Arabidopsis thaliana: one gene and its partners. The protein of the gene in region 2 interacts with the protein of the main gene of each other region in a biochemical or structural test. Each region holds a gene or a part of one and is shown on either strand. Other genes may lie near its edges.

The links.
Region 1: the proteins of ABI5 (region 2) and FCA form a complex in vitro, tested with the Arabidopsis thaliana proteins (one study listed by BioGRID).
Region 3: the proteins of ABI5 (region 2) and KEG form a complex in vitro, tested with the Arabidopsis thaliana proteins (2 studies listed by BioGRID, with this or other methods).

Annotation. Positions count from the first base shown.
Region 1 is NC_003075.7:9,210,698-9,218,210, forward strand, and holds the start of FCA (flowering time control protein FCA), read right to left. Parts: upstream 4,129-7,513; 5' UTR 3,716-4,128; coding exon 3,382-3,715; intron 3,127-3,381; coding exon 3,056-3,126; intron 2,969-3,055; coding exon 2,890-2,968; exon of another isoform or gene 815-2,889; coding exon 732-814; intron 652-731; coding exon 600-651; intron 403-599; coding exon 335-402; intron 1-334. Other genes in the region: SPH1 (S-protein homologue 1), read right to left, coding at 4,983-5,438. UniProt on the Arabidopsis thaliana protein: Plays a major role in the promotion of the transition of the vegetative meristem to reproductive development. Plays a role in the regulation of flowering time in the autonomous flowering pathway by decreasing FLOWERING LOCUS C mRNA levels.
Region 2 is NC_003071.7:15,201,645-15,209,525, forward strand, and holds ABI5 (Basic-leucine zipper (bZIP) transcription factor family protein), read right to left. Parts: upstream 5,993-7,881; 5' UTR 5,717-5,992; intron 5,017-5,716; exon of another isoform or gene 4,935-5,016; 5' UTR 4,928-4,934; coding exon 3,797-4,927; intron 3,716-3,796; coding exon 3,644-3,715; intron 3,556-3,643; coding exon 3,424-3,555; coding exon of another isoform or gene 3,336-3,423; 3' UTR 3,101-3,335; downstream 1-3,100. Other genes in the region: AT2G36255 (Defensin-like (DEFL) family protein), read right to left, coding at 24-84; AT2G36260 (Iron-sulfur cluster biosynthesis family protein), read left to right, coding at 1,142-1,283, 1,594-1,711, 1,787-1,856; AT2G36290 (alpha/beta-Hydrolases superfamily protein), read right to left, coding at 7,223-7,528, 7,605-7,872. UniProt on the Arabidopsis thaliana protein: Participates in ABA-regulated gene expression during seed development and subsequent vegetative stage by acting as the major mediator of ABA repression of growth.
Region 3 is NC_003076.8:4,341,955-4,349,329, reverse strand, and holds the start of KEG (protein kinases;ubiquitin-protein ligase), read right to left. Parts: upstream 4,129-7,375; 5' UTR 3,713-4,128; coding exon 2,970-3,712; intron 2,144-2,969; coding exon 1,790-2,143; intron 1,710-1,789; coding exon 1,479-1,709; intron 1,298-1,478; coding exon 1,172-1,297; intron 1,074-1,171; coding exon 737-1,073; intron 581-736; coding exon 423-580; intron 85-422; coding exon 1-84. Other genes in the region: AT5G13520 (peptidase M1 family protein), read left to right, coding at 4,759-5,754, 5,879-6,112, 6,197-6,523, 6,920-7,213; EMB3136 (Ribosomal protein L10 family protein), read right to left, coding at 7,374-7,375. UniProt on the Arabidopsis thaliana protein: Mediates E2-dependent protein ubiquitination. Acts as a negative regulator of abscisic acid signaling. Required for ABI5 degradation, by mediating its ubiquitination.

The DNA of each region.
Region 1 (7,513 bases), on a different chromosome or scaffold from region 2:
TTTGTTAAAAGATTACATGAGAAATTGAAACACATAAGTTGAACTGGGAAGGTAGCCGTTCACATTTATTAATTTTATCTATTATGACAGTCAAACAGTTGGATCAATTGGAAGAAGAGATTACACAGTAAGTAGAATGTCCAAGCGCTTGCATTATTGACACAGATTTTCTAGACACTCACCCTTTGGTAAGACTAACAAAATTTATCAAAGAGTCATTTAAAATTATCAACTCAGGTAACAGGGGACACAATAATATCCAAGTTTAGAACTCTTCCCTGTTCCGTTAATCTGACATAAGTAACAACTTCAAAAAGTAAGATACGAAACATACCTCCTCAACTTCTTTTTCAGTGGCTTGCTTGTTTAGTGAACCAACAAAAAGCTTAAACTCTAGGGTGCCTTCAGAAGAAGAGAACTATATCACTTGATAGTAAGGCAAAGAAAACAGGGAAAGAAAAGGATCAACATCCATAAAGTTCATATCATTTCCCACATTTTCTTAATTTTTGTAATCTGAACTTATGCAGCGTATGGTCTTGGCTATGAACACTAGACAATGACAGCCACATTAGATACTCTGTGTGGAAGTTGATTACCTATGCGTTCTCTCTCCCCGTCAGCATATCGAACTTGAACAGGACCAGTTCCCTGGGAATCAACAAAATTATAAAAGGTGAAACAACCTATAGTTTCCTGTTCTTGATAAGAGAAAGCCTCAGGGTAATTACCCCAGGAAGAGTGATCTGATTGTGCAGTGCTCTGATGGCTCTATCCGCATCTTTCGAAGTTGCATATTTTACAAAACAACAGCCTGCATTAAAGACTGATACTTAAGCTATCTGTTTCAGGGTTCAACTTTTCCTTCTACCATCAAATTGTACTAGTAACAAGATGTACTACTCAAAGCACATAAGTTCAGTAGGAAAATCATAAGACATGTCTGACAGCCTCCACTTAAATATTGATGTAAAGTTGTTGGAGAGAATAAATTAATGTCTTCAAATGGAGAATATGGCAAAAACAAATATTAAAAAATTGAACACAGTCAGTATCTGCAGATAACATATCTACAAGAGGGCCTTTCAGACAAAGGGTGGCTGCATTTGTCCAAGCAGGATCCATTTGAAAGAAAATCTAGAAACATGTACAAGTTAATTAGCAACATAAAACATAACTATAGGTCCAAAGTAACGGATTCAGTATGTAAGAATCTCAATAATTGATGAGTAGCGGATAATCAAAACCAAAACATATACACATTTTCGTCACCATACATCAAGCATTTGAAGACTTCAAATAAAGAACTACAGTTATGGGCAAGATAACTCATTGGAAAAAAATCTAATTCAGAAAAGAATACGATTGCTTCATGTAATACATAATTAGGCCCCTGCCTGATGCTGATTGATCAAGGGCAAGAGAGTGAAGTCAACATGCTGTATTAACATCAGAAACTATTCTAAGAAACTAAAACAATCAGGTTCCTTCCATATGTTTGCACCACCTAACATAATAATATTTCACAAGGCTGAAGAAAGAGTTGTATGGAATCTAGTACATTCAACCGCGATCAAAAGTGTTTATGTCACCACAATCAGATGCATTTGTTCTGCCATCCACAAAGGTGTAGCAGTTATAGAAATAATAACTTCTTGGAAAGTCAAGAATTTATAAATAACTATGCACGTACAAACACACCATTCATCGTCTAGTATTTCTTCACACTGACAAAATAGAGACAGAACTAAATGGAGTAGTAGAACAGGAAATTCAATAATAAAATAACAGTTGCACCTTGCAAGCACAAAGGCTTGATTAGCGAAAAGGGAGCATACAAAAAAAATCTATCATCAAACATTTCTTCCACATAAATATCGATCAGCACTGCAAGGGCCACCATACAGACATAAGAGCTACTCAACAAAATATTCATTCATCTATGACGAGAGATGGTATATCACATCACAAGCCATCCAAGGAATAGAGACGTGGGAACATACAAAATACATACATAAGAACTACTAAACAAATCATTCATTCACCTATGACGAGAGATGGTATATCACATCACAAGCCATCCAAGAAATTGAGAGGGACGACCATACAGAAAGCACACATTTCAGGCCATTCAAAGAGAGTGGAAAGAAATATAGCCATCATAGTTCCTCAGGCCATCAACAAAAGAAAAGGAGAAACGCATTCATTCCAGCATCACTCATCCAAAAAGGTAAAAGGAATGCCATCATTAACCAATAGACAGCACACCCATAAATTGATATGAAAGAAAATGAAGACGCCAAACCTCCAACATGATAAAATTAGAAAGACGGCCAAATCTTTGACCAGCAGGAGTGGCAAATCAAGAAACCATCTTTTGAACCTCATGTCCTTATCAAACTACCAACTTAAAAAAATACATTCATCCTGTCAAGACCATACACAACATCTTCAATCCATCTAGAGGAAGAGTAAAGAAAATGAATTTCAATAGGAGAGGAAAATAGCGATGTTCTTATAACCAATTCCCACTATAAAGGCAACAGCAAAATTCAGTTCTCTGTACATTAACTCCAACTCTAAAACACCCTCAATAAATTCTACACTTTTCAAACACATCTAAAGTTCTAGAATACACACAAGTAGCGAAATCTATTTGCCCAACATAAGTACATAAACCCTTTCTTAGCACAGGTAGCCTTCTTCTGTGACAGAATCGAACACAGATAAGACGCTGGCAAGCATAAGCAATAAGCCCGAAAATTGTTGCAAACAATTGGAGGCCAATGATGAGACTGGGGTTGCTTCCCATCAGCCTTTTCAGGGAGACCTGAAATTTTAAAAAGTATAATTCACGACTATTTCCTAATAAAATGGAGATTGACATACCTTGCTGCTGTCCAGTTCTCTTGTCCTTGATCAGAGCAACCTCCAGAACATTTCCATGCTGTTCGAAATAGGGACGGATCTACAATATGAAAACCAACAGAAAAAATTTAGAAAAGGTTCTCAGTAATGAGTATATAGATAACAATGATTTCCAAGATTAACTCACTTCTTCTTCTGTAGCTGTCCTTGGTACAGATCCAACAAAAAGCTTGACTGTACTGCTACGATCAGAGACATCTGCAAATCAAATTAACCAGATAAGGATACACATGAAGATGGCATATAGTTTTGATTATCACATACATGGGAAAATCGAAAGGATCCTCTAGAGTCGATCCCATGAAAAACCTTCAACAATACAGTAACATAACAACCATACTACCTTTCAATACTCTAATCATTGATTCCCACAAAAATAAGAGACACTCAGGAACCTTAACAGACTACAAGAATAAATATACATAGAAGAAAGAAGAGTGAACTCATGCTTACCAGTTCCAGTAAAGCTGCCATGGTCTGAGATAGGATACCCTCTTTTCTGACCGGAAAGAGGCTGCTGGACCGGCGGTGTAGTCGGTCTTACAGAATAATCAGACTCCATTGCTTTACCGATAAATCTCCTCCTGTCTGGACTCTCTGAAGGAGGATACTTCGCGGGATAGTTATACCGAGCTCCAACAATTGACCGTGTCCCTTCTCCTCCCACACCACCGTTAGGACCCATTGGACGAAAACCATCATCGTAGGCAAACCCCATAGGCCGAAAACTTCCACCATGGTGAGGACCCATAGGCTTAAAATCTACTCTATCTGGGGGACCATTCATCTGCCGGAAACCTCCATCTCCGGGACCATCAAAATCCTTAGGAGTGTCATCTTCCCAGCGTCGACCACCATTACCTCCTCCTCCGCCCCCAATTCCAATTCGATAATTGCTAGGGCTGCTTCCACGACGACGACGGTGGCGGCGAAAATCATCATCATCCTCTTCGAAGCGTGAATCTGAGGGACGAGATGGACCTCTGGGATGGGCTCGGTGGTTATGGTAGGAATCCTCGTAGCCGCCACTCTCATGGCGATCCCTTCGGTGTCTGTCCAGCTTGACGTAGTGGGGAATTGCGATTCCAGTCGAAGAAATCAAAGGACTAGGAGCCCTAGAAATTTGGGATCTGTATGAAACCAAAGAGAGAAGAAACGAGTATCGAAGATGATGAATTTGATTGAAGATGAGATCAATTTAGTTGCTCGAAATTTTGATTTTTTTGTCCGAATGTAAAAAAGAAAAAGCGGTCTAGTTACGGTAATAGTGGTTGGACCGGTGATTCAGTTGAAATTTGGACCGGTAGACTTTATTGAGTCTTGGCTGATAACGAAAAATACAGCTACTTGGGCCATCAATATATTTATATACTGCCAAAAGGGGGATACAATTGTTCCAATGAGTTTTCGTTAACAAAAGGAAAAAAATTGACATTTCAGGTAACTCTCACATTCTTAAGTCCAATCCAAAATTCTCATGTCAACTATATGCTTCAGAAACATTTTGATATAGTACATGCATTTCATGGCGTTTATTAAATCATGTGTTGGGTGATCAATAATATAAAGTTCTAAGTAATGCAAAATACTTGCATCACTATATGAATTTAGAGGATATATGACTAGGTCTGAACTACCTTTTACCTAAAATAATCAAATGAATATTTACTGTTCGTCTCCTTCATCATGAGTCACTAGATTCATGAGTCAATAATCAATGGCTTTGTCTTGAGTCAAGTTAATCGTTTAACAGGTTTTTAATGGTTTGAAAGCAAAAAGAAATCTTACCAATATATATAAGTGTAAAATGTAATCTCTATATATCACAAACACAATATTGTTATTTAATCTATGATCTTATTATCTCAGAAAATTAATCTAATAATTAAATGACCTATAAATAAAGAACTAAAACAAAAAATCTATCATTGATGAAAAATACACAAAATAAGAGAGAAAGTTAAAACAAATGTTTTTTATTATTTCAATTTTTTTTTTGCCAAAAACAACAAGATACATGTACTAAAAAATTACCAAAAAGCAAAAATATGGCTTCACCATCCAACTTCCCATTTTCTTGACAATACATCTTCACCGCTCGCTGAATTCCAAAGATAAAGGCCATCAGTTTTTGCAGTCCAAATGCAATTCTTCCAACCGCATCTATGGAACAAGATAACATCATCCCAAAACACGTTTACATTCATATGACCATTATCTTTGTTCATATAGCACCAAAAAAAAGTTGAGTGAAGCATATTTTCTCCGAAGTTCCAAGAAAATCTATTTCTAAACTTCAGATTAATTTCACCTAGATCATCTTCTTTAGATTTACAATGGATGAAAAGAGTTTCACCAGTTGTCAAACCGTTAACAACCGTGACTTGCCACTCAGAAATCTTCGGGACTATAATGTCTCTCGTGGTGGTGCCGCCGACTAAGACATGGTCTTGACATGTTAGGGCCAGAGAAAAGCAAATTGCCAAGAGAAATTGTTTGATGCAATTCATACTTTTTTCAGGCAAGCAAAATCTTTAGGGAGAACTTTTTTGTTACTTCTTTTTATAATGGAAGAGTGAAACGGTAATTGACGTTTAATTAAATTTTGATGTTATTACATTGCATTAATGAAGAGTCATGCTGCAAATCATTTAAGTGATTGCATGTTAATTAGAAATGAAGCTGAAAGGTTAGTACATATAATAATCCAAGTACGTAGATGATTGTGGCATAATATATTAAGATTAAAAAATACTAATTTATATTGTGGTGTAAGCTATTAGTTTTGAATTTATTATGTGAATCAATTTTAAAAGTTATTAGTTTTTAGATTTAGATTATGACCCAAGAATTCGAAGTATATAATCGAAAAATTTAATGTATAAAAATAATAATTCAACATGGTCGATCGGGTATTTATTTCTAGTAAAATAGTATTTCATAAACCTAATTTTAGTTAACTATATAAATTATAACACTAGTAAAGTATTCTGCCTTTTACGTTACTTTATTGGGATTAATAAAAATATATTGGATTCGTTGAAATCCAATAACAAATTGTAATTTTGATCTTTGATTCATAGAAACAAAAAGTTACGAAATTAAAGAAATTTTTAAACAAAAGAGTACTCGACCAGAAAAATATGTTTTTTTTTCTATTTTCTCACTCATATTTTTCAGATAGAGAAAGCAATTTTCAGTACACCGAAATTAAAATCCGACGACTAAAAATAGTTTCTTCTCTCTCTCAAATCCTTCTGAGAGGAGAGGTTTCTTGTCGATGGAGTTTGATTTCGGTTTTGTCTGGAATTTTATATATTTTCGTGTATATACAAACAAAATAACTGCCGACCTTTTATCGGATTTCCGTTATTAGCTTTGTTCGATTTATCAAAATTTTATATACTTTTGTGTATATACGCTCTAGCGAAATTGATCTCTCTTCCATCTGTGTCCGTTGATGTCTCCGTTTTTCTTCTAAATCTTATACGATCTCTCCAATTTTTTCGAGGAGTAACATCTTTGTCACTTCCTTTTGCTAAGTTCATACTACATCAAGTTAGGTGTATATAGTGGTGGAGTTTCCTCGGAGTTTGGTGTTGTTCGAAGAATTTCGAACAATCTCTTTCAATAGATCTAGAGATTAATTGACGGTTGGTTTGGAACTGAGATCGTTAGAAAGGAGGAAGTTTCTCAAAATGACTTCATTAAGCAAATGCTTTTTCTTTGCATTCTTGTGTTTCATTGCTCTCTTGACTCCATGAATGGCAAAATTAAATTACCTAGGTGATTATTTACGCTATCCTACAGATATTTTCGATTTTTTTTGTTTTGTTTTGTTTTATTAAATATTATGTTTTGATAAATTTAGTTTCTAATTTACTAAGCACTCACTCATCCATTCAACAAATTCAACAAGTATTCTTATTTCTTAGTGTCAAAGTACTTTTCTTATCAACCTTATCAACAATGTATCACACTCACACTCTTCAGAAATAAATTTCTATCCTAAACCAAGTTTAAAGATGATAATGTTGAGATTATATAAACCAGTAAGTATATGGTTAAAGTGAAAATAGTGCTATATATTATTTTCTTCAACATAATACCGTAGTTTCTAATTTGATTTTCTAAGTAAATCTAAATTGAATAAAAAATTTACTTTTATCACTAATTTTAATTTTAACTTTTTATAAACTAGATATCTTTTTTGGTAATATATTTTTAATTGTAAATCATTGACTCATATTTTCATTTACCTAAATACTAAACCAAAACAATCTTTTCAACTATATATTTTCCCCATGTACTTAACTAAAATATCATAAACAAATACCATACGCAGCGTTTTGAAGCATACGTCGCATTTCTCTTTAATCGTTAATTTCCTGATTTAGGCTTCACCAATTTTTTTTTTTTCCCTGATAAAAATTTTAGCTTCACCACCACCATTGTTCGTTTGGGTGTTTTGAACATTGATGAATCGTTGCTTCTGAGATCTCGACGAAGATAAAAAGCTCTTCGGCTACTTCAGGTAAATTTCAATTTCGATTTCTGTATCACCAATCTCCTTGCGAATGAGGTT
Region 2 (7,881 bases):
AGTTAAGAAAATCTTAAAATTACCATTAGAAACCAACAAGATGATCATCAAGAGAGCAGAGAAGTTAACTATGAGCTTTGCCATATTTCTTTGTTGTTGTTTTGTGTTTGCTTCTTCTTCTTTTTTTAATAGAGCAGAGATTGATGAGCTTGTAGCTAACTATTTGAAAGCATAGAATCATTTATAGGGCAAACTCGTTGACTTTTATTTCTTCTATTTGAATCCAAGACATATATAGTTTATTAGTTTTTGTGTAATATGGATTAATGTATATAATGTCGCCATAATTTGAATTGCTAGTTGACAAAACAGAAATGAATTGCACGATCCACCCAATGTCTCGCTAATGATCTCTCTATGTTGCATCCAAATTGTAACAATTTTTTATATAGCAACATATTATAATTTTAATGTCATTATTTTGGCCCAACTAAAATTCAAGGGATGAGGATAAAGTATATAGAACACCAAACCTTGTATCATACGTATGAATACACAGAAATAGTTAAATATAATTATTGAAGTGTTCTTAGTAAAGTGCCTTGACTCAACTTAACATAATGAGCACATATAATGACATTGATATTGTATTGACTCTTTGTTTCATATGATACTATACCAAATAAATTTCTTATTATATAAAATGTTTTCATAACAATTTGACATGTCGCATAATTATAATCTCATGTTTTGCGATTAGCTTTTCCGCCAAAAAATGCTATATAACCAGAGGCTTAGAGTGAGAATAAAACAAGAAACAAATCAAACACAACAATTTTCCGCTTGTAAATGTGATCGTAGCCTTGGAGGACTTATAACTTAGGGTTCATGGGAGAATGTTAGTGGACGAATACGGGAGCGTTGACACGTTTGGTAGTTATTATTATGTTGTGTAATTAAGACTTTTTCTGGAAGCTAGATCGTTTCATCATCCCATATTCAATACAAACTTTATATATTACTAATACTAATTCTTTCGGGCTTTACAGGCCTAAACAGTTCTTAAGACTTGTTCACTAAATTATATATTAAAGTACAATGGCTCTTTAAATATCAACTTGTAACAAATTTGCTTGGACGTCTTCTTCCTCTCTGAAAAATCTTTAGCACAAATTTGAAATCCTCGAATATTTGGTCGGCGATGAGAAAGCAAGTATTAGCATTGAGTGACACGGCGGCTGCGAGGATTCGCCAACTTCTGCAGCATCAGCAAAAACCTTTCCTCCGCCTTGCTGTTGAAGCCAAAGGATGCAATGGCCTATCTTACGTCCTCAATTACGCCCGTAATTTCCATTTTTTCCCACATATATATTTCTTTTTTGTTGATTTTTTCCTCATAAATTATGTTGATATATATTTGATGCTCATGATGAGGAGGGAGTTCATATTGATTAGAGAGATGTATGTAATAATTAAAGGCACATATTCTATCAGGTTCAGAGTCAAGTTTTAGGGTAGGTTTTGTCACCTTCCTAGGAACCTAAGACCTTTTGTTTTGTAGCACTTTTGAGAACTTTTAATAGATGACTTAAATGTGTCCTGACTCCTGAGGCTTCCTATTTGGCGTTGTTCTGCTATGATCTTTGTTTTCAGAGGAGAAAGGGAAGTTTGATGAGGTGGTCGAGGAGAAAGGTGTAAAGATCCTTGTGGATCCAAAGGCGGTGATGCATGTGATTGGGACAGAGATGGATTTCGTGGACGATAAGCTTAGGTTTGTGCCCTTTCACGTGCCAATCTTGACACTCTCTTTATTCATGGTAAACATGTTTGCATTGTATTGGCACAGGTCTGAGTTTGTGTTCGTCAATCCAAACGCGACAAAGTGTGGATGTGGTGAGTCATTCACGACAACATGAAAGGCAAAATTACACATATAACATAATAAGACATATATAACTCTATTACTCTACCACAGTAGTCGATGAAATTTGCTTTGTAAATACAACTATCTTAAGGCTGTCTTCCGTGTAGGTTCGCAATTTGCGACGTTTGCGATGATTTAATGTAATGTGAATAAGTGTGTGTGGAAATGGGTTTCGTTTCTACGTATTACTCTGGATTTCTTACGACTTCAACAAACCAATGAAATTTTGACATCAAAAATAACTCCGACATAAAAATTGGCCAAGTCGGAAACATTTTACGATAAATAAAAACCCCACACTGAAGCCTGGTAAAAAAAAGTGGGTAGAAATGTGAGTGTGGTTGATTACTCTAGCCCGGTTAAAGTCAGCCACTTTAAAACACAAACATCTTCCTCTACAAGATTCTCACACTCTCTCTCTCACTCACACAAAAGAAGAAGAAGAAAAGATTCTGGCAAAAAGATTCATCCTCCATTCCTCCTCCTCTGACGATATCACCGATCAACAGCTCGGAGATTCCACTTCCGACGGCTGCTACGTCATCAAGAAGGTTGAGAGAACTGTGTGCAAGAAGAAACAGGGCTGGCGTGGTAAATCCATCAAGACATGCCAAACATCCATTGAGATCCATATCCATTGTCAAGCCAAGTAAGCATTTCTGTTCTCTCGGAATTGAGAGTTTTCTAGGGTTTAGAGTTTACTTGATTCGTACGGGTTATTAGTGATTTTAGAGTGTTTGATTTTGTAAGTTACATGATTACAGAGTCTTCCAAACCAACACGGTTGACACTGATCAAGACGATCTCAGTGCTCTTCCGAAACGGTTCTAATTAATTCTTCGACTTAATCTTAAGAAAATTTACCCTACTTTCAATCACTAACTAACTTGTTTCTCTTGTTCTTGATTGTTGTTGTTGCAGCTAGAAGAGGAAGTGGAGAAGGTATATGACTCGAGAAGAGTGTGTTCCACAGAGAATGCAATAGACAAATCAACATGAAGAAGACAACACTCTCTCTCTCTCACGTTTACTTTGTTCCTTGCTCTTTCTCTCCTTGTATTACTGAATGTTAAGCAGTACTCTAATGTAATTTGCATCTTGATCTATCTAGGTTACTAGGTTTAACTATCTGACTTGTGTCCCGAGTATCTTTTGTCTTGCGCATTGTGTCATTCCAAATTAAGACTCTTCATGGTAGTGCACAGAAACAGAGTGTACCTAAATCTACAAGTGAGCATAACACTCGTTATATTTTCCAAAGATTGATGATGTTGAAACACAGAATCACTTTCTTTGTTCACAGGGAACACTAGTAAAGCAGATCAGATGGTGTTCCTCCTACCAACACAGAAAACATCAAAGTATAAAGATTCTATAACCTCATTCCTCAAAGACAAAACAACAACGTAGAAAATCATCAGTTTTTCCCTCGTTCTGTCTCCGACTTCTTCTCCATCTTCCTATTGTTTGTTTAGAGTGGACAACTCGGGTTCCTCATCAATGTCCGCAATCTCCCGTTCGATTTCGGCAATTTCGGTTGTGCCCTTGACTTCAAACTCTCAAAATACTGCAACCATAAACCAACAATTCCATTTTGTAGTTTTCTTCTGACCAAAATACTGCAACCATCTTAGTAATGCAAACTCAATAGGTGTCTTTACCTGTTGCTTCCTCTTCCTCTCCAACTCCGCCTTGATGAAAACATAACAAAGGCTAAATTGTTACAAACTCACTTTCACAAAAAGAATAAACTCTTTAACGAGATGAGTAAATATATACCAATGCATGTTTTAGCTGCGCATTCTCTTCTTTCAACTGGTTAAGTTCAGCTTCCAATTCCACTGTATATGCCTTCCCAAAACAACAACAACAAACATTAGATTTTTTTCAACAAGAAACATCATAAAAGGAATGAAGAAGGTCTCTATTTACTTGTTTTCTTGCTCTAGATCTAGCAGCAGACTCGCGGTTCTTGATCATCCTCCTCTGTCTTCTCTCCACTACTTTCTCCACTGGACCATCCACTACTCTTTTCCTTCCCCTTAGCCCTCCCATATCTACTCCATACTGACCTCCTATGTTATCCACTTGTCCATGTCCTAATCCATCTGAAGACACCGGGCTTAACGGTCCAACCATTCCCATTTGCTGTCCACCCGCTCCAAACCCAACGCCACCTCCATAGCAAACACCTGCCTGAACTGGTGGCGCCTGCTGATACCCTCCTCCTCCTGTCCTTTTAGCATAACCTGATGGGTCACCCACACCCATAGCTTGACCCGGGAATGAAGGATCACCGGTTCCTTGAAACACACCATAAAGCTGTTGCTGTGCAGCTGCGGGTATTACACTAGACGGGTTTTGGTTTTGGTTCGGGTTTGGATTAGGTTTAGGATTAGTGGGATGTTCTCTAACCACACCAGCCTTCACCAAGAAATCCTCAAGTGTCATCTCTCCAAAAGTCGGTTGTCTAGCCGCAGTCTCACCGCCGTTCTGAGCATTGTTCTGTCCATTACTACTACTACTACGTCCATTGCTGTCTCCTCCATTACCGCTACCACCACCTCTATGTATCTCAGACCAAACCTCATCAACAGTCTTCCTACAAAGCGGAGCTGGAAGTGTCAAAGAGCCTTGTCGAGGAAGACTAGACTCGTTCGCTATCCCTCTCTTATTGTTAGCATCTTCGTTGCCTCTAGAACCACCACTAAAGACACCAACACCACCCTCGCCTCCATTGTTATTGTTGTTGTTGAAACCATTGTGATTAGCCGGAACAGAATGTGAACCTGCAGCTGCTGCTGCTTGTTGTTGATTGTTATTATTCTCCTCTGCGTTCCAAATAGAGACAAGAAACTCGTCCATGTTCATGGACCCAAAGTTCTTGCCGTTCTCACATAAAGCATGTTGGAACTCGTCAAGGGTCAATGAGTAGATAGAGGATTGTCTTCCCAAAGAAGTAAACGGATGATTCTCACCACCACCTCCTCCATTATGTCTCGCTTGCGCCATGGACGACTCTACTTCTCGCTCTGACGTCAACTTCGTTTCTCTAGTTACCATTTAACAACTGCATCATATACACAACAATAACCATTTTTATATCTGTATTCACACAAACTATATTGAAATATGGATACCACCTAAACGACAATAACAATTTTGTCTCTTATATATTAAATTCATCGTATTATTTTGACCAAACTTCAGTTACTTGTCCCTGTTCAGCTATTCACGAAACTCACTTAATAGTTGTCCCTTATTCAACTATCACGAAAAAAGACAATTGAATTATTTGATAATTGATGCTCTCAAAGAATGAAATAAATTATTTTGGTAAAGTGGAGTTTAAATGACGTAAAAAATATTGAAATAACAAGAATGAAAGAAGGTAATTAAGTCGGTCCACGTGAAAATAAAGAAGAACGGTCCACATCGTGACAGCGACAAACGATACTAAAATTAGCAATAAATAAACTAATAATTTACTCTTCCAATAAAGTTTTCGTTACCAAAAGAGGAAAATATCTTAACCCACTCGTTTTCTTCTTAAAGCGAACTTATCAACACAAGATTTTTTTCCTCTTTAATCATTTATTAATACGGTTTTAAACAAAAGATAATCTAGAGCTTAACCTGATGATTAGTAAAATAAATTAATCATTAGCTTGGGTCATCATTATATCCGTCTATTACTAAGTATCACTTTACCACAAAGTTTAATATTTGGTAATACGCAGATAAGTAAGGACCAGAAAACGAAGACCTAAACTTATAAATAAAGAGATAGATTTATTTAACAGTCTTCTAATCCAAGATCTTGAAAAATTATAAAACAAGAAAAGTGTTAACCTGAAAATGAAATCTGTGTGTCTAAAAACCGGTGGCTTTGTGTTCCTCCGCCGCCGGAAAACTGAGAGAATCCGCTTCTTGTTATGGAGGTTCTCCTCCTTCACATAGTTTAAAAGCCGCCGGAGAATTTTGACTGAAAGGTTTTGAGAAAGAGAGAGATAAATGGGTAGGAGGCGGTAAAAGAGAGATTGATATTTATGTTCTCACCGTGAGAGTGTGGCGCGTGGGGTCTAAGAAGAGAGGCGTGAAGGTCAACATCTTTTGTCTAAAGTTATCTTTCGACCAATGGAATGCTAACTTAGACAGGTCCAGGTCCAGGCCCATGATCAGAGACAAAGAATCCGTTCGGCTGCGGACGACACGTGTCCTGCACGTGTCTCTCTTCTGTTTCTTGCAGTGTCTTCTCACAGGCTCGACACGTGTGACTTCGGCTACACAAATGTTTTTTTACGTCTAAAACTAGACATGATTTTCTCTCTTTTAAGCATATATAAGATAATAAGAACGTGAAATTTGGATTAGAAGAGCGAATTAAAGTGTGATCTTTTTTTACATATTGGTTCATGATTTGTTTTGTGAAATTGACGGATTAATTTGATTGATCAATACTGATTTACTTTGGTAAAAACATATTTAGGTTAGATTCAAGATGTTATGAAAGAAATAGTCAAAGTTTGTAAACACTTGTTTGTCGTTGAGCTTCTAGCTGGTGAAAGTAGACTTGTTAGATTTTGAATAGAATTACGTTTAGTGAGACAAAAACTTATTAAAGAATTAAAACAAATCAAAGTCGAGAAATTATCCTCTTCCTTTTTTACTTTTTTTTTCGAAGATATTTTATTTAACTTTGACAAAAAAAAAAAAACATGATTCCGAACTTCCATTGGGAGTGCACGTGGACTATTCACTGCATAAGGACTATCGAATTTTAAATGCTTAATTTATCAAGTGTTTCTAATAGCCAAAAAACTAAAAACAAAAATAAAAAAGATTATCCGACCTGCCGGAATCGAACCAGCGACCTAAAGATTACAGCAACTACTACAGTCTTCCGCTCTACCAACTGAGCTAAGGTCGGATTGATGCTAATTAGCCTAATGCGGTTTTATATAAACTTAACTATTAATTATCATATTGGCCTCTTTAGTTACTTTTTTCCTTTGATTGTTTTTAGACCATGCAAACACAAACACAAGTGGCCCATAATTCAATTAATACACCTAATTTTGTTCTGACACATCTCACAATTAATGGCTGTCTAAGCCTAATATTAAACTAGTTGACATTAGCCTAAAATTGGGTGATATACAGAAACAGCTTTTTGAGATGAATGCTGAGAATGTTTTACATAGGTACCAGAACTCTTTACTAATCACCCACAATATATATCAGCAACCAAGAGAAACTTGAGATTCTCATGAATCTCTCTGATCCCGGTTCAAAATATCATAGCAATGCATGTTACAAAACCAAAACTAGCCAACTTTTTGAGAGAGAAGACATCGTTTACTTCTTCACTCCATCATTGGTTAAGAGCGTTTTAACAATGTTATTAACCATACCTGGAGCAAACGGGAACAAATGCCCTGCTCCAGGAATCTCATGGTAATGGATCCATGGCAGCTTCTTCGCAATGTAACGTTGCAGAGTCACAGGGACAAGCACATCATCATCTCCCTGCCACAAGTGCACTGATCCTTCATTGTTCGGGAACAGATTCTCGAGCTCCATTGGATCGAACTCCCAAGTTCCAAATCCAACAATCATGTCACGGTGCAATGTCTCGTGTGTTCCTTGTTGCCTTATTTGTGCCTTCATAGAGACTTAGATTTGATAAATGCAAATAGGTAGGTGAAGAAAAAGAAGTCATGAAGAATGTTGTATATACCTCATGTTGGCTCCTTGCAGCACCGAGCTTAAACATGATCTCTTTGTCTGCTTTGGACAACATACCGAGATTGCGAGCCACAACACTTGATCCAGGGAACCAGCTCTGGGAGTTCCACCAATGAGTAAGCCAAGGAGCATAGTGTGCAACACGAACCGCCCATTGGTCATTTCTCCCTTGTTGGTTAAAAGCTTCGGTTGAGATCTCTGATGGAAAGTTCTTCCACCAATAGTTCACCACTGGAGCAACAAGCGTTACTCCAGCCAACCTTAAGAAG
Region 3 (7,375 bases), on a different chromosome or scaffold from region 2:
TGAGAAATTTCTTCTGGACTGGAAACTTCCACCCATCTCTTGATAACAGCAACATTCCATGTTGCTACACACATATGTAACGGTCTGAAACAAACATAAAAGTATAAAGATCTGTAGCATAAAACATCAGAAACATAGGTTTACAAAATGAAATATGCTTTCCTAAGAAAGAAAAGAACCAAGGTACACATTAAATGGTTCAGCTACCTCATTGTGACTTATCCAAACAGGTTAATGTAGTAGACATTTTTAAGCACATACAATGCTCAAAATAAGTTATAATGTAGATGCAAATAGGAGTATAAGAACTACAAAATAAAACCAAACAGAACTTGCTTTAAAATGGCCCAGTAGTAATCTATCCGTGCCAAATTTTATGGTCCCGTCTACCTAGCATAGAAAGAGGTCATTTCTGTACTTACGTCAGGCACTTCGCATTTGAAACAGTCATTGATCTAGATCCCCCATTTTCCAATATAACAATGGCACAATCTGTGTATTTCTTGGCAACAGCTCGATGAAGCACAGTTTCACCTTCATCATCCACTGCATTTGGATCGGCTCCAGCTACCAGCAATTCCTATTGATAGTACCAATTAGCAGAGAATAGTTATTAACATGATAATAGATATAAGACAAGCATAATATCTGATACACTTCACATAAGTGGAAGATTTGCGATCATGTTGTGGAAGCTTTAAAGTGACTGATAGCTTCCTCGGGAGCAGAGACTTACACGCATACAATCAGGTTGGCCATGGTACGAACACACGTGAGCTACAGATGGGCCAGATCCTTCCCGCAGTCTGGACCTCACATTAGCCCCCTTTTTAATGAGAACGTGAACACATTGTGGAGATCCAGCTGCTAAAGCAAAGACAAGAGGAGGATCCCCATCTTTGTCCACGATATCTACATTAGCCTCCCCATACTCCAGTATAGCCTCCACAAGTTCAGCACTGCCACGTCTGCAAGCTAAGTGAAGAGCCGATTGACCATCAGCGTTTTGCGCCTCTAATAGAGATCGCACAGAGCTTCCACCGCCTCCAGCTGCAGCCTTTGCAAGTATATTTCTACTCCAAAACAAAAATCAAACCAATGTAGTTGAGAACAGGTTGTTTATAGCTAGTGCGAACAAAAGGATTAACTAGAATTCCTAACAGATACTAACCTTACACCCTCAAAGTCTCCCTCCAAAACAACCCGATGTAGGTTGTTAGGGTTATCCTGAAAGACCCCTATGTTAGTCGCGCGAGGTGCTTGTACAATGTTTACTTCACATATTTTGGCAATCCCACTACATCATACATGGTTTATATTATTGTTAGGCGAAGGAATATAGGCATGATGACAAAAATAATCTTAGGTGTTGGTGCTAATATTAATCTTAACACAAGTGAAAGGGTCTTCTTTACTGACAAGCAACGAAAACAGGGAAACCATAAAACTAAGTAATCTTAGGGACTTAAAACTCTTACTTATCAGGGCTTGCTGAAGGGCTACGTGGTATCTCTTGTAGATGACGAAGAAATGTAGCAAGCATTGCATTAAAGGTTGGTCTTTTCGACGGTTTAAACTGAAGACATTCACCAATCATTTTCCATAATTCCCGAGGAATTCCCACACCCACTATGCGTTCATACTGTGGTGGTACTTTTCGGGCTTTCACAACAGCTTGAAAAATTTCTTCTCTACTAAGACCATCCCACCTGTAAAATTAAGTGACAGTTAGTACAATGGCAGACACAAAACACAACTGAAATATCAACTAGGAAGAGGCTTCACATACGGAGTGGATCCAGTGCACATCTCTACTAACGTACAGCCAAAACTCCATGCATCTGATTCTGGAGATACACCACTTGCATCCTCCCAAAAAAGTTTTTTCACCGGTCCCCAAGCCTCTGGGGCAGTGTAGTGTGGACTGAGTGTTACACAGTCCGTGTATAGAGTGACTTTTGAGGAATCAAACTCTGGTCGAGTTTTCTGGCATGTTGGCTTCTTTAGGATGGGAGCGAGCCCATAATCAGAAACCACAGCATTGCCGCTTGCATCCAAAAGAAGATTGGAAGGTTTTATATTCATACAGATAACACCTGCTGCATGGAGTTCTGCAACCCCTCGAGCAACATCAGCCCCATATCTACAGTTGGTAAAATTTAATATCACAACAAGAGCAATGGAATAATACATATGTTGGTCACTGAAGGAATATTCTAAGTTGTAAACTTAAAACAACATGAGCACGATATGAAAGGAGAATACAAAACACTCATTTACGCATTAGTGCTTACATTTAATAGTCCCAAATGACGCAATTCAGTTAAAAACAGAAAATAGGAGGAAATACAAACAAGTGAATTGAAGGTAATATTAGAACCAGGACAACAAAATAAGGATCATCTTTAGATGATGCGTCCTTTGATAAATTAATGTATAACAATTCGTACAATTTTTTGCATGATTTGATATGTCAGTTCGTTGAAAAATGATTTCTGGTCATATACTTTAGAAGGAAGCATACTAATGTAAAGGGCTTTCTCAAAGATATCTTGCAAACGTAGGTTCAAGGATCCACTACTAAAAAGGAAAGGACTAGTCCAAAAAATGTTTGTCTATTGAGGCATTGACAGATGAAAAGTAGCTGCAGCTGGTAATGACAAAGAGAGATGACAACTACTATAATTCGTGCCTAGCTTTTTAAGAACATCTAAACTAAAGTTATCTTACAAGTTGCCCTTTTGGCAAATGACACCAGGTTTTAGTTGCTTGTTTCACTAGAATCTGAAAAACTGTGCACTTACAATATATATTTCTAATAGCAATCACAAAAAACCAAGTCGGGTCTAGTCCAGTAATTTCTAATTAGGGAACAGGCTATCAAAGTTTGAGACTTTAAGCACAGAAACGATCACAGTAAAAGCCAGATACTAGGCAAAAAAAAAGAATAAGAGAAGCAAAAGAGGAACCTTAGAATCTGCTCCAAAGTAAGTCTGCCTTCATTGCGTTGCATCTCAGACTGAACAGACCCAAAGCACCTGTCCATCAAAAGACAAAGAGATCCATCCATCTTCACAACCCCATGGAAAGTACAAACATTCCTACACCACATGGATGCTCTCCGCAAGCTCTCAAGCTGTCCCTGCATCCACTCAACATCCATGTCCTCCGTCAAAGTCATCTTTTTCACCGCCACACGGTGCTTACACCGTCCACCACCGCCTGCAACAGTTGCATCCCACATCTCCACACCTCCAAAACCACCACTACTACTCTCTTCCCCAATCTGCCTCACCAGCTTCATCTCCGGGTGAGCTCCGACCTCGATCACTGGACCACACAAGCTATTAATCGAGCTTGAGGCATGAAATCCACGAGCGGCACGAGCTCCATCTTCATCACTACCATCTTCTTCATCGTCGTCATCCTCATCATCCGTGTAATCGCAATCGAAGTTAGCGCCGCCGGATGCGGCGTGAATGAGAGCAAGCATAGCGTAGTTCTTCCTGAGACCCTGAACAGAGTTCCCAACAACAGACACGTGGCGACACCGGGGACAAGTGAGGGTTGTGTCGGAAGAAGTAGAGAACATCTTGGAAAGACAATCTTTGCAGAAGCCATGGCCGCATTGAAGCAATAAAGGAACTCTCTCATCTTCATTATACCGCGTGTGGCACACGGAACAACAAGGGACCTTGACTCTCCCAACCATGAGAGCTCCGAAAAGAGAAAGCCCTAAATTAATTTAGGTCGCGAGATCAAAGAGTAAGAAGGGAGTGAAAGACCAATCAATTCAGTAGAGAGAGTTCCTCAGAACATATCTGGGGGGGGGGGGGGGGGAAGGAAACTCAGTAAAGTCGATCCAGATCAAGGAGAGAAGAACAGATCCATGGAGAAGAAAGAAAAAGGTGGAATTTTTGAAAGGTAGATCAAAATTGGCTGGGAAAAATCAGACACGAGCAAGCAAGAATAAAAATTGTAAGAAAAATGTGAAAAAGGTTCTTCTTCAGGGTTTTATATCATCATTTTTATTTTTATTTTCATTTTTTTCCAATTTTATTTGGGGTTGAGTCTCGAGGGCTCTCTGGTTTCGTCGGTTTTGACGGGTGGGTGCCGTCAGCACTTGTGCTCGAACCCGTTTATTGACTCTCCTAATAGTAGTAATCGTCAACCATCAGATTTTATATTTGTTGTCATCAACAACTTAAACCATCAGGAAAAAATAATTGTAATTTTTACTGAGAGTTTTTTTTTTTGGCGAAGTTTTTACCAAGTAGCTTTTGAGCCAAATGCAAAAACAAATAGATTGTTTGATCTTGTAATAGAGTTCACCAAATAATGAGACGATAAATCTGACACCAATACCAAAATGTAAACTCGTTGTTTGTTGCTAAGTAGATTACTCGTGTGAGTGTATAACTCATGGACCTAAAACTTGAAGCTCAATAGAGGCTCAAGCCCAAAAAGATGGTTGTTAAAAATCTCAGGATTGTTGGTGGCTTGGTGTGCTTTTGGTTCATCCAACTTGGGTTTAACATTGTATTTAGTCGCCGTTTAATATCTAACGGTTTCAACTTTATGCACTAAATGATTCTCCATTAACCAAATTATTCCAAAAATACATTATTTATCATCATAAAATGGTACCATCGAACAACAATTCTTCATTTTTTCTTTTTCTCCCGCTTTATACTCTCTTCTCCACCTCTCTAACTGCCCCTTTCCTCAAAACCCTAAGCAAGCTTCTCTCACTCAGCAATGGCACCCATTGATCCACACTCTTTCACCGATTCCTCTCATCCTCTCACCACGCATGTCGCTCTCTCCCTCTACCTCGATTTCAACACCTCCATAATCCATGGCTCCGCTCTCCTCACTCTCTCCTCCGCCTTCTCCGGCGAACTCTCTCTTGATACTCGCTGCATTTCCATTGCTATGGTCCTCGATCCTCTCACTCTCGAGCCTATCCCTTACTCCGTCTCCACCACACCGGATCGAATTCGGGGCACCGAAGTTGTCGTAGTCCTCTCCGGTCAATCTTCACTGCTAATTGTCTACTCCACTTCGCCTTCTGCTTCCGCTCTCCAGTGGCTTTCGCCGCTTCAAACTTTCTCCAAATTGCATCCTTATGTCTACACGCAGTGTCAAGCGATTCACGCCAGATCCATTTTCCCATGCCAGGACACTCCTGCCGCGAGGATCCGTTACGACGTCGTTATGAACATACCGAATTCGCTCTCTGCCGTCATGTCGGCTCGCCACGTCCGTCGTAGGCTTGCGGTTCCTGAGGAGGCTAAACATCTCGAGGCTGGGTCGCTGGGGTCGTCACTGTGGTGTGGTGAGGATAGAGTTGTGGAAGAGTTTGCTATGGAACAGCCTATACCGCCTTATCTATTTGCTTTTGCCGTTGGTGAGTTAGGGTTTCGGGAAGTTGGACCTAGGACTCGGGTATACACAGAATCTGCCGCCATTGAAGTTCTAGATGCGGCTGCTCTGGAGTTTGCAGGAACGGAGGATATGATCAAGCAAGGGGAGAAGCTGTTTGGAGATTACGAGTGGGAGAGATTTGACTTACTGGTGCTGCCTCCGAGTTTTCCTTATGGAGGTATGGAGAATCCAAGAATGGTTTTCCTGACGCCTACTGTTATCAAAGGAGACGCCACTGGAGCTCAAGTTGTAGCTCACGAGCTCGCACATAGCTGGACTGGGAATTTGATCACTAATATCAACAATGAACACTTCTGGTTGAATGAGGTAGCTTTGAATTGTCTTGTGCTTTTGCTTCTTTTAGCTACAAATTAGGATGTGTAACTGTGTGTCCGTTTTTAGAGTTTGCCTTGTTGATGGGAAAGTGTTTATTTCATGTTCATGGCAATAGGGATTTACAACTTACGCAGAGAGGAGAATTGTGGAGGTTGTTCAAGGGGCGGATATAGCTACTTTGAACATTGGCATTGGTTGGAGGGGTTTAACTGATGAAATGGAACGGTTTAAGGACAACTTGGAGTGCACTAAACTGTGGAACAAACAAGAAGGTGTTGATCCAGATGATGTATATTCTCAGGTCCCATATGAAAAAGGATTCCAATTTGTGTTGCGAATTGAACGCCAGGTTAGTTGAATTGCCCTCTTCGCTTAGGTGTTTTGTTATGTAATGTTTACAATAATGGTCATCTATTTACTGGAAAACTTTCAGATTGGAAGAACTGCTTTTGACGAATTCCTCAAGAAATACATTGCTACTTTCAAGTTCAAGTCAATCGATACAAACACATTTCTTGAATTCCTGAAAGCAAACATCCCTGGCATAGAGAAAGAGATCAATCTACAGCTGTGGACTGAGGGCGTTGGTATACCAGAGGATGCATATGAACCAGTCTCAACCATTTACACAAAGATCATATCCCTGGCGAAAGAGTTTAAGGAAGGAAAGATGCCAAGTGAGGATGATGTTGCTGAGTGGAACGGACAGGAATGGGAGCTGTACTTGGAGAATCTTCCTAAATCATGTGAACCTTCTCAGGTACTCTTTACTCCTTTCTTCCTCTAAGTTAATGGGAGCTGTACTTGGAGCTGTACTTGCTGAGTGAATCTTTATTTCTTCCTCTAAGATAATGGGAAATGGCTTGACTTAGGTTGAACTACTCAATAAGCTTACATAAGGAGGAGAAAAAGGCCTAACTAACTGTCAGTTAGGTTAGCTCAATAGTTACTCTTGGATTAATGTGGGGCTAGTGAATAATGATTGTGGAAAAACCCTCTTGGCTTTGGGAGAGTTCATGATTGTGGAAAGTGTATTGGCTTTGCAAGAGTTAGGATCTTATCTTGTTTGTTAATGACAATGCTAGTCAACAAAGGAAGGATTGGTGATCAGGTTCAAACCTATGGCTAACACCCACTTTGCTCATTGATGAATCAGGTCATGGCCTTGGACAAGCGGTACAGACTGGCAGAATCGAAAGACTATGAAGTGAAGGTCTCGTTTCTGCAACTTGCAGTCACATCCAAGTGCAGAGAGTACCATGGGGAAGTGAAGAAAACACTAAAAGAGGTAGGAAGGATGAAGTACCTGCGTCCACTCTTCACTGCTCTTGCACAATCTGGTGGAACAGAAGAGAAGCAGCTGGCAAAACAGGTGTTTGCAGAAGCTCGAGAAACTTATCACCCCATAGCTCAGGGAGTTGTTGAATCTATCCTCTCTAAGTACATCTAAACAAGACCGTTATGATAGCTTGAGAGCACTCCGAAAAACAACATTTCAATAAAACTCAGTCACTGTAATAACAATTGGTGCTTGAGAGAGTCATAAACAAAAAATTGAATTGCCTTTTGTTGCGTACATTACATTCTCCAAAAGATTAGTACAAGCTTAACT